Caenorhabditis elegans: one gene and its partner. The protein of the gene in region 2 interacts with the protein of the main gene of each other region in a biochemical or structural test. Each region holds a gene or a part of one and is shown on either strand. Other genes may lie near its edges.

Evidence for each region. The genes of interacting proteins can lie anywhere in the genome.
Region 1: of the proteins of npr-4 (region 2) and flp-14, one has a biochemical effect on the other in vitro, tested with the Caenorhabditis elegans proteins (one study listed by BioGRID).

What each region holds. Positions count from the first base shown.
Region 1 is NC_003281.10:12,908,309-12,915,853, reverse strand, and holds flp-14 (KHEYLRF-amide 4), read right to left. Parts: upstream 5,345-7,545; 5' UTR 5,343-5,344; coding exon 5,211-5,342; intron 4,261-5,210; coding exon 4,137-4,260; intron 2,421-4,136; coding exon 2,291-2,420; intron 1,160-2,290; coding exon 1,114-1,159; 3' UTR 924-1,113; downstream 1-923. Other genes in the region: Y37D8A.16 (MARVEL domain-containing protein), read left to right, coding at 426-557.
Region 2 is NC_003284.9:12,548,049-12,553,485, forward strand, and holds the start of npr-4 (G-protein coupled receptors family 1 profile domain-containing protein), read right to left. Parts: upstream 3,630-5,437; 5' UTR 3,592-3,629; intron 3,542-3,591; 5' UTR 3,474-3,541; coding exon 3,409-3,473; intron 1-3,408.

The DNA of each region.
Region 1 (7,545 bases), on a different chromosome or scaffold from region 2:
TTTGACGGGTTAAACCTAGATTTTCTGAATTGTCCATATACGATTTACCCGTTTTCAACAAATTTAGGCAACTTTTTATTTTTGCCCATTTTCATTTTTCTGCCATCTAACGGCTGTCCTTTTTTTTGGGGAAAAAAATAATTTTTCTGAAAATGTACAAATTAAAACCGCTACATTCTGAAAAAGGGCATTTTTTAAGTGTTCGGAGAGCAATGTTGAGTCCTCTAACTACAAAATTGCCCATTTTAGAAAAGTTTCAAAATCGTGCAATTTTTCAAAAACTTCTGTCAGCTTTTGCCAACTTTCGCAAACGTTTGCCTGCTTTTACCAAAAGTTACCAACTTTTGCCAAACTTTGCTAAATTTTGCCAAACTTCGCGAACTCTTGCCAAATTTAACAAACTTTTCAAAATTAATTTCTTACAGGCAATGGCTGGACTCAACGTTGGATGCTTCCTCGGCATCGCTGCCATTTTCGTTGCAAATCTTGTCAACGATAAGATTCTACAGCGCTCGCAAAAGTTCAATAAATACGATCGTGGAGTTTACGTGCAGTAATTCGGCAGAAGTCTTGGGATTTTTTATTGCTCATTTTCATGTAAATTTCTAATACGATCTACTTATATTTATTCTTTTTTTTTTGTTCCATTTATCTCGAAGGGATCTTATAATTGCGTTTTTGTTCATTTTTTGGAATTATTGACAAAAATTCTAATAAAAAATTTACCGTACATTTTAAAAAATTCGAAGTGTTTTTTTTTCTGAGCATTCCAGCAAAACTTGTCAAAAAATCCAGATTCCCAGAAATTTCTACAAGACCCAGAAGTTTGCTTTCTTTAAATCGTTTTTAAAGTGGTTCATCGTGAACCTTGTTTAATGTCGGTTGCGCACTTATCTTCCTCTGACTTCTAGAAAATAACTCTTAACCAACGACAAGATTTATTACAATTTCTTCTTTCGACAATGCTGAGAGGGAGAGAGAAAAGAGATAGAGAGAAAAATATAGAAAAAAAAATCTTTCAAAAAAAAATGGTGTACTGTAGTTCCGTCTTTTTCTTCTTTTATTTGTATGGTTTTCAAAGATGTTTCTTCGATGATAGTAGATATTCCCTTCTTATTTGCGTCCGAAACGCAAGTATTCGTGCTTTCTCTTTCCGAATCTGAAAAAAATAGGGGAAATTTGATGGAACACAATTTCCTTTAGAGACATCGTGTGACATTTGATTTAGAAACAAACAAAAAGAACACCGAATTTGAGTCGAAAATTCAATTTTTGAAGTTTAATAGTGTTACGGAAAAGTGCGAAGATCAGAGCTTGTTCTCTCCGTTAAATTGTGCTCGAAAAATCACGGATTTCTGGCTTCCCTCATAAATTGAAATGGAAGAGTTTGCCAAACTAGGCCATTTTGGCTCGGTCATAGCTGGGGTAGATTTACGGCGCATTGCGTGTCGCGTCGCGGCTTGATTTTAGTTGTAAATCTAAATCACTTGTCCGTGTGGAGTACACGACTTTCCCACGCGTTGTCCGGCAGGCGATTGTCAATGGAGCGCGAAAAATGCAATGAGGAAGGCCTGAACCCCGTGAAAGTGGGAAAAAAAATTCGCGCATAAAATTCGATGCACAGACATCATATTTTACGCGCAAGTTTGTTACACGATTTTTCAGCCACAAATACAGGTCTCGACGCGACAAATTTTTCGTTAAATTCGAAAAGGTGTGCGACTTTGATTTTCATCGATTTTTCAAAGTTTTTCTATCATTTCCTCGAGAATTTGTCCGTATTATTTTTGTGTAAATAAATAATATTTTGCAGGACACTACAGTAATCTTTATAGGCTTTTGAATTCCTTCTGTATTAAAAAAAAACAAGCAAATTCGTGTAGAGACCTGAGAAGTATTACGGTGACGCAAAAATGACAATTTTTCGAAAAAAAAGTGCAATTGCGCTCCAAACGCTGCCATAATTTGGGTCTCGTTAAGAAAATTGGTTCCAAAAATTTCCTGGGTGTATTCATTTGTACGTTGGAGCGTATTTGCCCCCATCTAACAGTTGCAGCTTTTTGCGGCGCCATAATAACATCTGCCTACTACTGCCTGCCTATTGCCTGCTTATTGTCTTCCTACTCCCTGTCTGCCTACTGCCTGCCTACTGATTGCCTACTGCCTGTCTATTCCCTGCCTGCCTATTGCCTGCTTATTGTCTACCTACTCTCTGTCTGCCTACTGCCTGCCTACACCCTGCCTACTGTCTTCCTACTGCCTGCCTTACAACTAAAAAAAAATCACAAACCTCAAGTACTCGTGCTTCCTTTTTCCAAATCTGAGATACTCGTGCTTTCTCTTTCCGAATCGGAGGTATTCGTGCTTGCGCTTCTCCATGTCATTGTCTCCCTCGTTGGTCTCCTCCTCGAGAGCCAATCCTGCAACAACGTTTCCCATTGGGATCAGACCTCAAAGCAAGAGCACAACCATCATTAAGAATTTAAAAAGAATTTGGCGCTTTACATTTTAAAAGTCAGGGGCTTTTTCAAGAAAATGGCGGAACGTGATTGATAGTCTAGGCTTTCGGCTGGGTCACCGGAGGCTTATTTGATGCAGAGAAAATGAAGTTTGACTCATGCAGCTGGCAAATCGGATGTCTACTGTCTGCCTGCCTACTGCCTAGTTCCTGCCTACTGCCTAGTTTCTGCTTTCAGCCTACCTACTGCCTACCTACCAGGCCTGCCGGATTTTCTGCTTTTTTTTTTGAAATAATTTTGCTTTAAAAAAACCGAAAAATCGAAAAAACAAATTTCGGCGGCGCCCCTGTTTCCTACTTCTGCATACTGCCTGCTACTGCCTACTTACTGTCTGCCTACTGCCTGCTGCCTGCCTGCCTACTGCCAATTTTCGTTTTTCAGATTCCAATTTTACGGTATTTCCATTTTTCGGTTTTGCTAAGACAGAAAACCAAAAAAACTGGATAAGGCACCCCTGCTGCCTACTGCCTGTCTACTACCTGCCTACTGCCTACCTACTGCCTACCTACCAGGCCTGCCGGATTTTCGGTGTTTTTTAAAGAAAAAATTCGTTTTTCGGTTTTGCTAAAAAAAAACCAAAGGGAAAAAACTGGCAAAGGCACCCCTTCTGCCAACTGCTTGCCTACTGCTTGCCTACTGCCTACCTACAGCCTGCATACTACCTGCCTACTGCATGCCTACTGCCTACTGTCTACCTACTAGGCTTGCCGGTTTTCCTGTTTTCCGGTTTTGCTAAGACAGAAAACCAAATAAACTGGCATAGGCACCCCTGCTACCTACTGCCTGCCTACTGCCTGCCTACTGCCTGCCTGCTGCCAACTTTCGTTTTTCAGATTCCCATTTTACGGTTTTTCGATTTTTCGATTTTGCTATAAAACAACCAAAAAAAAACTGGCATAGGCACCCCTGCTGCCTACTGCCTGTCTACTGCCTGCTTACTGCCTACCTAGTATTTGCCTACTACCTGCCTACTGCATGCCTACTGCCTAGTTCCTGCCTTCAGCCTACCTACTGCCTACCTGGCCTGCCGGATTTTCTGTTTTTTTTTTTTTAATTTTCGTTTTTCGGTTTTGCTAAAAAAAAAACAGAAAAATCGAAAAAACAAATTTCGGCGGTGCCTCTGTTTCCTACTACCCGCCTACTGCCTTCCTACTGCCTGCCTGCTGCCTGCCGGATTTTCGGTTTATTTGAAAAAATTGTTGTTTTTCTGTTATGCTCAAAAAACCAAAAAAACCTGGCATAGGCACCTCTGCTGCCTACTGCCTGTCTACTGCCTGCCTACTATCTACCTACTATCTGCCTACTGCCTGCCTACTGCCAACTTTCGTTTTTCAGACTCCAATTTTACGGTATTCCGATTTTTCGGTTTTGCCCAAAAAAACCGAAAAACCTGGCAAAGGCACCCCTTCTGCCTACTGCCTGCCGACTGCCTACCTACTGCCTGCCTATTGCCTACCTACCAGGGCTGCCGGATCTTCGGTTTTTTTTTAAATTTTTTGTTTTTCTGTTATGCTCAAAAACAACCGAAAAATCGAAAAAAAAATTTTCGGCGGTGCCCCTGTTTCCTACTGCCTGCCTCTTGCCTGCCTACTGCCTACCTACTACCTGCCTACTTACCGTGAGTCTGAACGAGACGTTCAACTCCCTCCGAAACGAGAGCTCCGAGCTGAGCAAGAAGCATGCTGCTCTCGCTTAATTGGCACAAAAGCGCCTCTTGTTGATCGCCGTTGTTGGCCAGAATCTGGAAAATGTGTTTTTTTACAGTAGTACGTTTTTCAAACCCAGTGATTATTCCGGAACAAAATCCTTGGGAAAAGCACGAAAATTACATGGTTTCAAAAAAAAAACCAACCGGAAGCCTTGTAATTATAGGTTCAGATTTTTGTCGAGGACTACGGTGAGATGAAGCCCGTATTTGACAGCTCATATCTCGGCTATCTTTAGCTTTATCAAAAAGTTGTTAACTAGAAAAATATAGGTTTTTTCTTTTTCTGCAACTTTATAGTTTAAAAAATTTTGCTATCTATAAAATGAACCGAGTTATGATCTACCAAAGTGGAGTTCTAAAAAAACTTTGATCTACTACTTTCCAACCCCACAAAAAAACACATTCAAATCAAACAGAGAATAGTATGATCAGGTTAGAATCATCTAGATTAACTATGAAAAAGAAAATAGATTTTTTTTCTATTCATCGCAAGTTGTTTAATCTTTATTGTGCATCCAATCCTCCCCCGAAAAATGAGCAGAAATTGTGATCTTATTAAGTTTACTACAACCGAAACGTCATGAGGATCAAAAGAATATCATATTTATCAAATTTTTTGTCCAGAAAATGTGACGGCAGCACGTTCTTAACCATGCGAAATCAGTTAAGAAGTCTGCGTCTAAGTTCCCGCGATTCTCGTAGATCTGCGTAGATCAAACCAATACACAGTAGTCATTAGTTTTCGCTGCGTGATATTTTGCGCGTCAAATATGTTGCGCAGTACGCATTCTCAGAATTTTGAGAACCATGGGATGTATGACGTCACGCAGGCCCTAACTTAGTTTTCGAAAAACTTTTCCAAAATGCACTAAACTATCTCATTATAACTTCCACTTGCAGTTTTGAAAAAAAAAACTTTTTTAAACCCAATTATAAACATGACTTTAAACTTCTTAGAACAAAATGGTTTTTTTTTGACTCACCGCTTGACAATCCTTCGGATTGTGTGGAGCCTGTGCGGCTCCAGAAGCTCCGGCTCCAGCCGGTGCCTCCTGGCCACTGGCGGCCACGACGAACGCGGAGAGCAGAAGCGCGGTGGGCAGGCAGATCATCATATGAAGAGAGCTCTCAGTTGGAGCCAGAGGAGACTTCAAAATGGGCGGAGCTCGGTGTTGAAAGTGAAATGTTGTGGGCGTGGCTTGGTAGAGCTCGAGGAGAAGAAAAAAAAATGAAACAAAATTCAAGAGTACGGTAGCACTAAAAATTTTACGAAAAAAAAAACAAATACTAATTAGCCGAGGGGATGGGGTCCCCGGATTAGCAGGATTTCGCTAAAATTTTCCGGGAAAATTGGAAAAGAGAAAACACCTCAAACATCTGAGAATCTGCCCCGGAAGTAATAAAAAATAAAAAAAACCAAAAAAAATGTATCGGAGGTTCCGTAAGGAGGCCCAGGGGCATATTGAGTTAAGTGACAGAGGAGGTCAATGTTTGAACAGAGCAGATGTATTGATAGGTCAGGCTAGGCAAGTCTAGGAGTCTAGTGAAGAGTAGGCAAGGCTAGGTGAGCCTAGGCTAGGTGAGGCTAGGCTAGGCTAGGCTAGGACAGACTAGGTTAGGTTAGGCTAGACTCGGTAAGAATAGGACAAATTAAGCTAGGCCAGGTTAGGCAGGCGATGGATAAGTTAGGTAAGGCTAGGCCAGGCTAGGCTAAGCTAGGCAGGGATAGGTGAGGGTAGGCTTGGCTAGGCTTGACTAGGTTTGGCTAGGCTTGGCTAGGCTTGGCAAGACTGGGAAGTTAGATTAAGCTAGGCCCGGCTAGGTAGACATAGGATAAGATAGGTAAGATAAGGTTGGACTAGGTTAGTTAAGGGTATACTAAGCTAGGCTAGGCTAGGCTAGGTGAGGCTAGACTAGGTAGGCGTAGGATACGTTATGTAAGGTTGGCTAGGCTAGGCAAGACTGGGATTCTAGGCAAGGTTAGCCAAGCTGGGAGTCTAGGCTAAAATATGCTTGGCTAGGCTGGGCTAGGCCAGCCTAGACCAGCCTAGACCAGCCTAGGCTTTGCTCAAACTATTCCCAAATTAAACGTTCAGAACAAAAAAGGAAGTATAGAACCATCGCTTAATGTTGTTTTCGTGCAATTCTCCACGTGGTGCTCCGTTTTTTTTTCTTCTAAAATTTGTGTGTGCTCGTTAAGTGTTTTCTTTTCTTTTTTCACTCGAAAGAGGCTGCTCTAATTGGTCTGACTTTGTGAAAAATTGTAACTTCCAGAACAAAATAACACATTTGTCTTTTTTTGAATTGCCGCATAGTGACATAACTTGGGTCTCGTTAGGTTTTTGGCGACAAAATCGTAAATTCAAACTTTTTTATATCTCCTGATTTCGTTAATTTTTCTAATTTTTTCAGTGTGTTTTAATGTTTTTTGTGACGAAAAAAATCAAAAAATCAAAAAATCGAAAAAAATCATTAAAAATAACGAATAATAGCTAAAACGACCAAATTCCTAATGAGACCCATTTTATGAAGACGGAGCGTTCCGAGAGAGTTGGGAACATCGGCCATGACCGCGACGGAGCTTCAAAAAATTTGCGGAAATGATGCACAGGCTTCTAGCCTTCCTCATCGATTTTTTCGCGCTCCATTGACAATCGGCCGCCGGGAAAGTCGTGTGAACTCCACACGGACATTTAGTTTTACAATCGAGCCGCGACGCGACACGCAACGCGCCGTAAATCTACCCCAGATATGGCCGAGCCAAAATGGCCTAGTTCGGCAAACTCTTCCATTTCAATTTATGAGGGAAGCCAGAAATCCGTGGCCTTGGCCGCGGCCTAGGTTCTCAGTAAACTCTGCCATTTCAAGATATGAGGGACTCTGAAAGCCCGTGAAGAAGGGCCAATTTTAGGTAGTAAATAGGCTTCTTAAGCCCACGCATTCTTCAAGAAAAGTCGTCAACAACATCAGGTCAGTTTCCCTCGGGCTTTTTGTACTTTCTTAACCTATTTATCTGCCTTTTTCTTGTTTTTGTTTTCTTTTTTCCCATTATTTTTTTTTCTAATTAACGCTCATTCCAGATAGATTTTTTCCATGATATAACTTCTTCCTATGAGCTCCGAAAATTTTTTTTTGTAGGAAAATGGAAAATAATTAGAATTTGGAATTTTAGTCCCAAAAATCATCAAAAACAAAAAAGACGGGCGGCTCCCAGTTTTTCTGGAGTCTCTGGGGTATTCATTAGCGCGCGGAGCAACGTCAACTGGAATTTTTTCTGGGGAACGAAATTCGGTGATTCTGCCCGGAATTTGGGACGTT
Region 2 (5,437 bases):
AAAATAACAGGAAAACTAAACGCCACAAAACTGTATGTTGAAAAACAAGAGTAAACAAACTGTTTCGCTGGACATCTGCTGAGATTTCATTTGACGCTATCAATCTCCGCTAAAGGCGTTTGAGTTTCTAAGTTAGATTCTAACAACTAATATATTTTTGCCGATAGGAAGTTTTACACGATTCTCAATTTTAAATATATCCTCTAATATCCTCTCAGATTATCTGTTTTTGTTCGATAAGCTTATAATTTTTAGCGATCAAAATTCTGCTGTTTCAAACTGATTAAATATTGAAAAAAAGCGATAATGAGCGAGCATTCTCGTCAAAACCTGTAGGCTAAGAAGAACTTAAAATGTACATATTTAGCTTCCAGGTTCTTTTTCGAAGTACATAAGTCACTCATCAAATTTTTACGCAACCTGAGACTATAAACCAAATATAAAATCAGAAAAGAAAACAACATGTCCCAATGTGATGAGAAAAAACTACGATAAGCTTATGAGAAAAGAGGATGTGTTTCCGGAGGCTGTATATATTGGGTGGGATGGGGTAATACATATTACATACGTGAGAAATTGCAAAACATGATTCACGTTTTTTGCGCGTGAATACTCAAATTAAACCATCATTCATAATTGATACAAGCATTCAAGTTGAGCAGAATGCGCAACATGTTTTTGTGATCAATTGGGGAGAACCTTTACAAAATAATTAAACATTCTTTCTAGGGAGAAATGTGTATTATGAACGTTTTAAACAATTTTGAAAATTGAAACTAATACGTAGAATGTGTAATATTCAAAAAGAACCGAAAATTGAAAATTTCTCAAAACATTGCGAGTTACTATAAATTTGAAAAATTGCCCAGTTTCAACTCTTCAAGAATCAAAAAAAACTTACAAGCGTTTTCCAAGGTTCACATTCATTTTTGAGAATACAAAGAATGATGAGAAAGCAAATAAGAAATTTCTCAAATCTCAAAAGACAAAAAACGATGTTAGTTAGCATTTTCTTACTCAACCCTCCCAAATAGTAACATAAAAATAAGCTCAATTGATCGGACAAATGGCATTTGTGACGCAATCTGCTGAACATGCAAATAACTTCCGAAAATATTATACTAAGCCTATCGCAGCGCAACATGAACTTGGCCAAGGAATCGAAAATTAAAATTTGAATGTGAAAGGCTTTTTCCGTTAAATGCATTTCCCAACGCTTCTCAGATAAATATCTTCTTTAAGCACAAAATAGAATGAAGTAAACGAATTTCCACTTTACTCCTCCGTCCAAGTCTCATCTAGATATATCGGGCCATTTACTATTTCTTCCAAAATATTCGCAAAAGCTCGAATCTATTGCACATCTTGTTCCGGACAAGCCAGACTGCGTCAAACATGCATATAGCAAAACTTCAACCTTTGTTCATTGTTTTCCTCATCGGGACCGGCTAAAAGGTGTACTTCTAGGTTGGTGACTGGTGTTTTCATAAATTACGAGACAATTGGGTGCCTACGTTGTCTCGTGACTTTGGTTTTCTTTTAATGTTCTCATTTTGTATTTGTTCATCGCGGTCAAAAAAACAAGAAGACGGAATGAAATAAATGGTTATTTTCCCAGAACCACTGATTTTTTAAGTGGAAGTAGTTTTCATAATTCATAAAAAATTCATTTAAAAAAAGCAAATGGGCTAGACAATGTGGTGTTTTCAAAACAAAAGCACATCACAATTATATAAACTGAAAATTATTTTTGAGGTCCGTAACAACCAGGAAATATGTATACGGTAATATTGCAAATTATTAAAGATTTTGGAAAAAAAATCATGTTCTTCAGCAGGTTCAAAGGAAACAAAAGAAAAAGCGGAGTGCTGTGACAATCTTAAAGCTGTAGTACGGTAGGTGAAAAATAATTGAAAACCATTACAATAGTGGTGCTAAAATTACCAAATATCAAAATGAAATTTTTGAAATCTTGACTCGGAGTAAAAAAAAATTTCAATAGCTTTTGAAAAGTTTATCATAATATTTTATCATTTTTGCAATATTAAACGGTTTTAATCATGTCCCCACTGGCTGTACAACATATCTTTCCGCCTACTCACAACCAATCGTAAAAACTTTTTTCCTCTTTCCCCTTCCCACATTTCACGTCAGCATTTCTGCAGATACCTTCTAATTTTGTATTTCAGATACATTATAATAACACCATGCTGGCATTTTTAACATTTTGAGCTTTGAGCATCAAAGATCGAACACTATGCGTTTCTCTCCTAATATATAAGATCAATTCTTTAGCGGCTCTATTTTAAAACGTCATTAATGAAATGAGTACGGAGAGAGAGACAGAGAGGAACTATAGGTGGGTGGTATAAAAAACTCGAGAGAGCGGGAGAAAGTTTCAAAGTTTTCCTTCCTTCTAAGGAATTTGATTATCTTAGGTCAGCGAAAAGTTGCAAAGATGAAGTGGTTGGTCCGTAGGAGAATGAAGTGCCAAAAAGTACAACGAGTAAGAGGAATACTGTTTTTGGATCCAAAAAATCTAGATTAAATCGTTCAAGAAAAGTCTTACTATAAGAATCTTGAAAAGTAAAAGTTCAACATTTGAGCTATTGTAAAATCGTTAGCAAAAAGTCAAAAAGAGCAATGTTCACAATTGTAGCGATTTTTTTCAAAATCACAAACGAATTGCCATTGATCTGCGAAAAACACCCAACAAACTCACACCACCCTTTGATCCATATTTTTTAGTTTTACTGGGTACAATTTCTCAATTTTGCCAATGATTTGTTTCTTGTTTTACATGATTAGCTGCAATTCAGTATTGTCTAACGCAATGCACCAAGAATCTTGATTGGCACCGAAAAATTGAGAATGTTGATCTAAAGATCAAAAACCCTTTTTTTTTTGGTAATGGAAAAACACCAATTCAGAAGAAAAAAAAAAGAACTTCACCAATTGAAAGTCGCATGACTCGTTCTCAACTGAGAAACGTGGAAAACGTCATCATTTGTTTTCTAGAAAAGGGGTGGCATTTTAAACTTGTTGAACTAAATTCAATTTTATGCAAAACGGAAGAAGGTTTCGAGATGTGATTTCAATTTAAGAAAGTTTTGACGGCGACGAATAAGAGCTGGTTGGCTCAAAAACACAATCGAGATTTGTCAGAGAATGAGTGATGGTGTGACAAGTGCACCACAATTTTGGAGTTTTCACTCGAAATTAGTGTTGTTTTTTTTACCATAGCTCGTCAAAATAGGCAATAATCTAATATTCACAAGTGTCTGAATTTGGGCTTAGAACTTTAACACTTGAGTTGTGGGAGGGTTTCTCTTTCAACTTTCCCAGAAACTAATAGACACCTCATTTGAAATGCGGAGGGGGACCCATTTTCCATTTTCAGGAACTTACCTTTCTCCAAACTTTCTTGCTCGGGTTATATTCCCGATTGTTATTGTGCCAATTTCCAGTAACATTGTTCTGTATATGTGTCTTCACCTAACAACTTTTCAGTTGCAATTCTCCGTAAACTTTGTGTTGATATCTGAAAATCAAACGATTGGTTATATAGTTTACAGTGACCGAGAGGCTTACCGTGATTAAATGAGAGCCTGGTGCCAAGGCAAGCTGGGCTGAAACAAATTGTATTTAGATAAATTCAAAGAAAGAATGGACAAGAAGAAATTGTGAGAAAAGATTAATATTATCCTCAACATCTGGCACCAAAAGCGTTTGTTTTCAGAAACGTTTGTACATTCTGCACTAATGCAATAAACTAATCGAGTTGGAATGAGAAAAATGGAGCAAGACAGGCGGAAAAGTTAATTTTCAGATTCTTAGAAAAAAACAAACAAAATTTTATGGCGGAGGATTACAATGACAAAGGATTTTTGCCTTTGTAAGTCTTTTCACTTTTGAAGAAACTAGTCTAGACTAGAACATGTGAAAACACCTTGAACTTTTTTTCAAGTTGTTTTAACTTTGGTGAAAAGTCAAATACTGGAAAATATTTTTTAATTGAATAAAATTATCTTTAATTTGTTTAAGGAGAATTTCAAAACCAACTAGAACAGGTAAGAAAACTTCAATTTTGCATTACTTGAAGATGGGTGAACTAGAAAGCTTTACCGCCAAACCTATTTTTTTTCAATGTGTACTACATTAAAGTTCTACAACATTATTTTATTTTTCAAATTAAAACTAAATTATATGTTATCCATAGAATTAGTTGATTTCATATTTCCTTACAATTGGAAAAATAAGTTTCGAGAAATACACAAACAATAATCACTACTTTTGTTTTTCAATCAAATTTGTGGAATTTAACATTTTTATATACTAATCTAAACATGACTCTACAAACAAATTTTTGTTATACTGTGAAACCGAAAATATAAAACAAAAGTGCTTCGATTTTTGGAGTTGAAAGAACAATTCGAACTCCGAACTCACTTCATCAAAAACCAACATGATTTTCTTCTTGTACAAAGATCGCAACAATTAAAACGGAAACAAGTGTAAGGTAAATAATAAAAAAGGACCAACCGACTGCAGATTGGCTTGCCCTTCTTCCGCAGGCGTTGCTCAATTGTCTTAGAGGGTCCATTTGGTTGTAAAAAAAGGGATTGAAGCCAGGAAAAAGAAGAATGGAGGGCGGAGAGCGGAGGAAAAAAGGTTCGGAGAAAAGGATGATAGAGTCATGCGGGGATGACCTCTAAGGATGTGCAAATGTTGCGTTGATTATTCAAGTCTGCGATTGGATGATTGGAGGATTGGGCTGATTTCGTCATTTGCTATCTAAGATTCAGGTGAATGCAATGAAGGTTCGGAGACCAAGTGCGATGCGTAAGAAAATGGTAATGAGCGCTGGGGATATTGAATGAACTTTCCCAGATCTTTGGAATAATTTTTATAAGACAACAGAAACTTGTTTTGTTGGAAAGGCCGTAAATTCTGTTACAATGTTATGTATATCAAATCTTTTTGCTTTTTTGTAAAATTTTTTTGATTTAATATCGTGTTTTTTTTCAGAGACTGCTTTCAAAATACATAACTATTTATCAGCGTTTATAAATTAGTAAGAAACACTGGAATTATCCATAAAAACAACAAAGTCAGTGAAAAGTTTGTGGGCTTGTTGCACAGATATTTATAATTTTGTTTTTTTTTTCGTATGTATTACATTAATAAATAAAAACATGAATCTTCACAAAGTCCGCTTTGTTTCAGCTGTGATTTGATAAAAAGCTCATCGAAAATTTCAAAAATTGTTCGTTTAAAAAACTTTCCAATCGTAACTTGAGATTGATTTTTTTGCAAAAACTGAAAGTGTTCCGGCAAAAAAATTTCGGCTAAGTTACACTGCGGGTTACGTTTGGTAACACAAATTCCCATAAATTCATCAAAATTTGCGTGCTTTGTGCCTCACTTACTTTAGAGT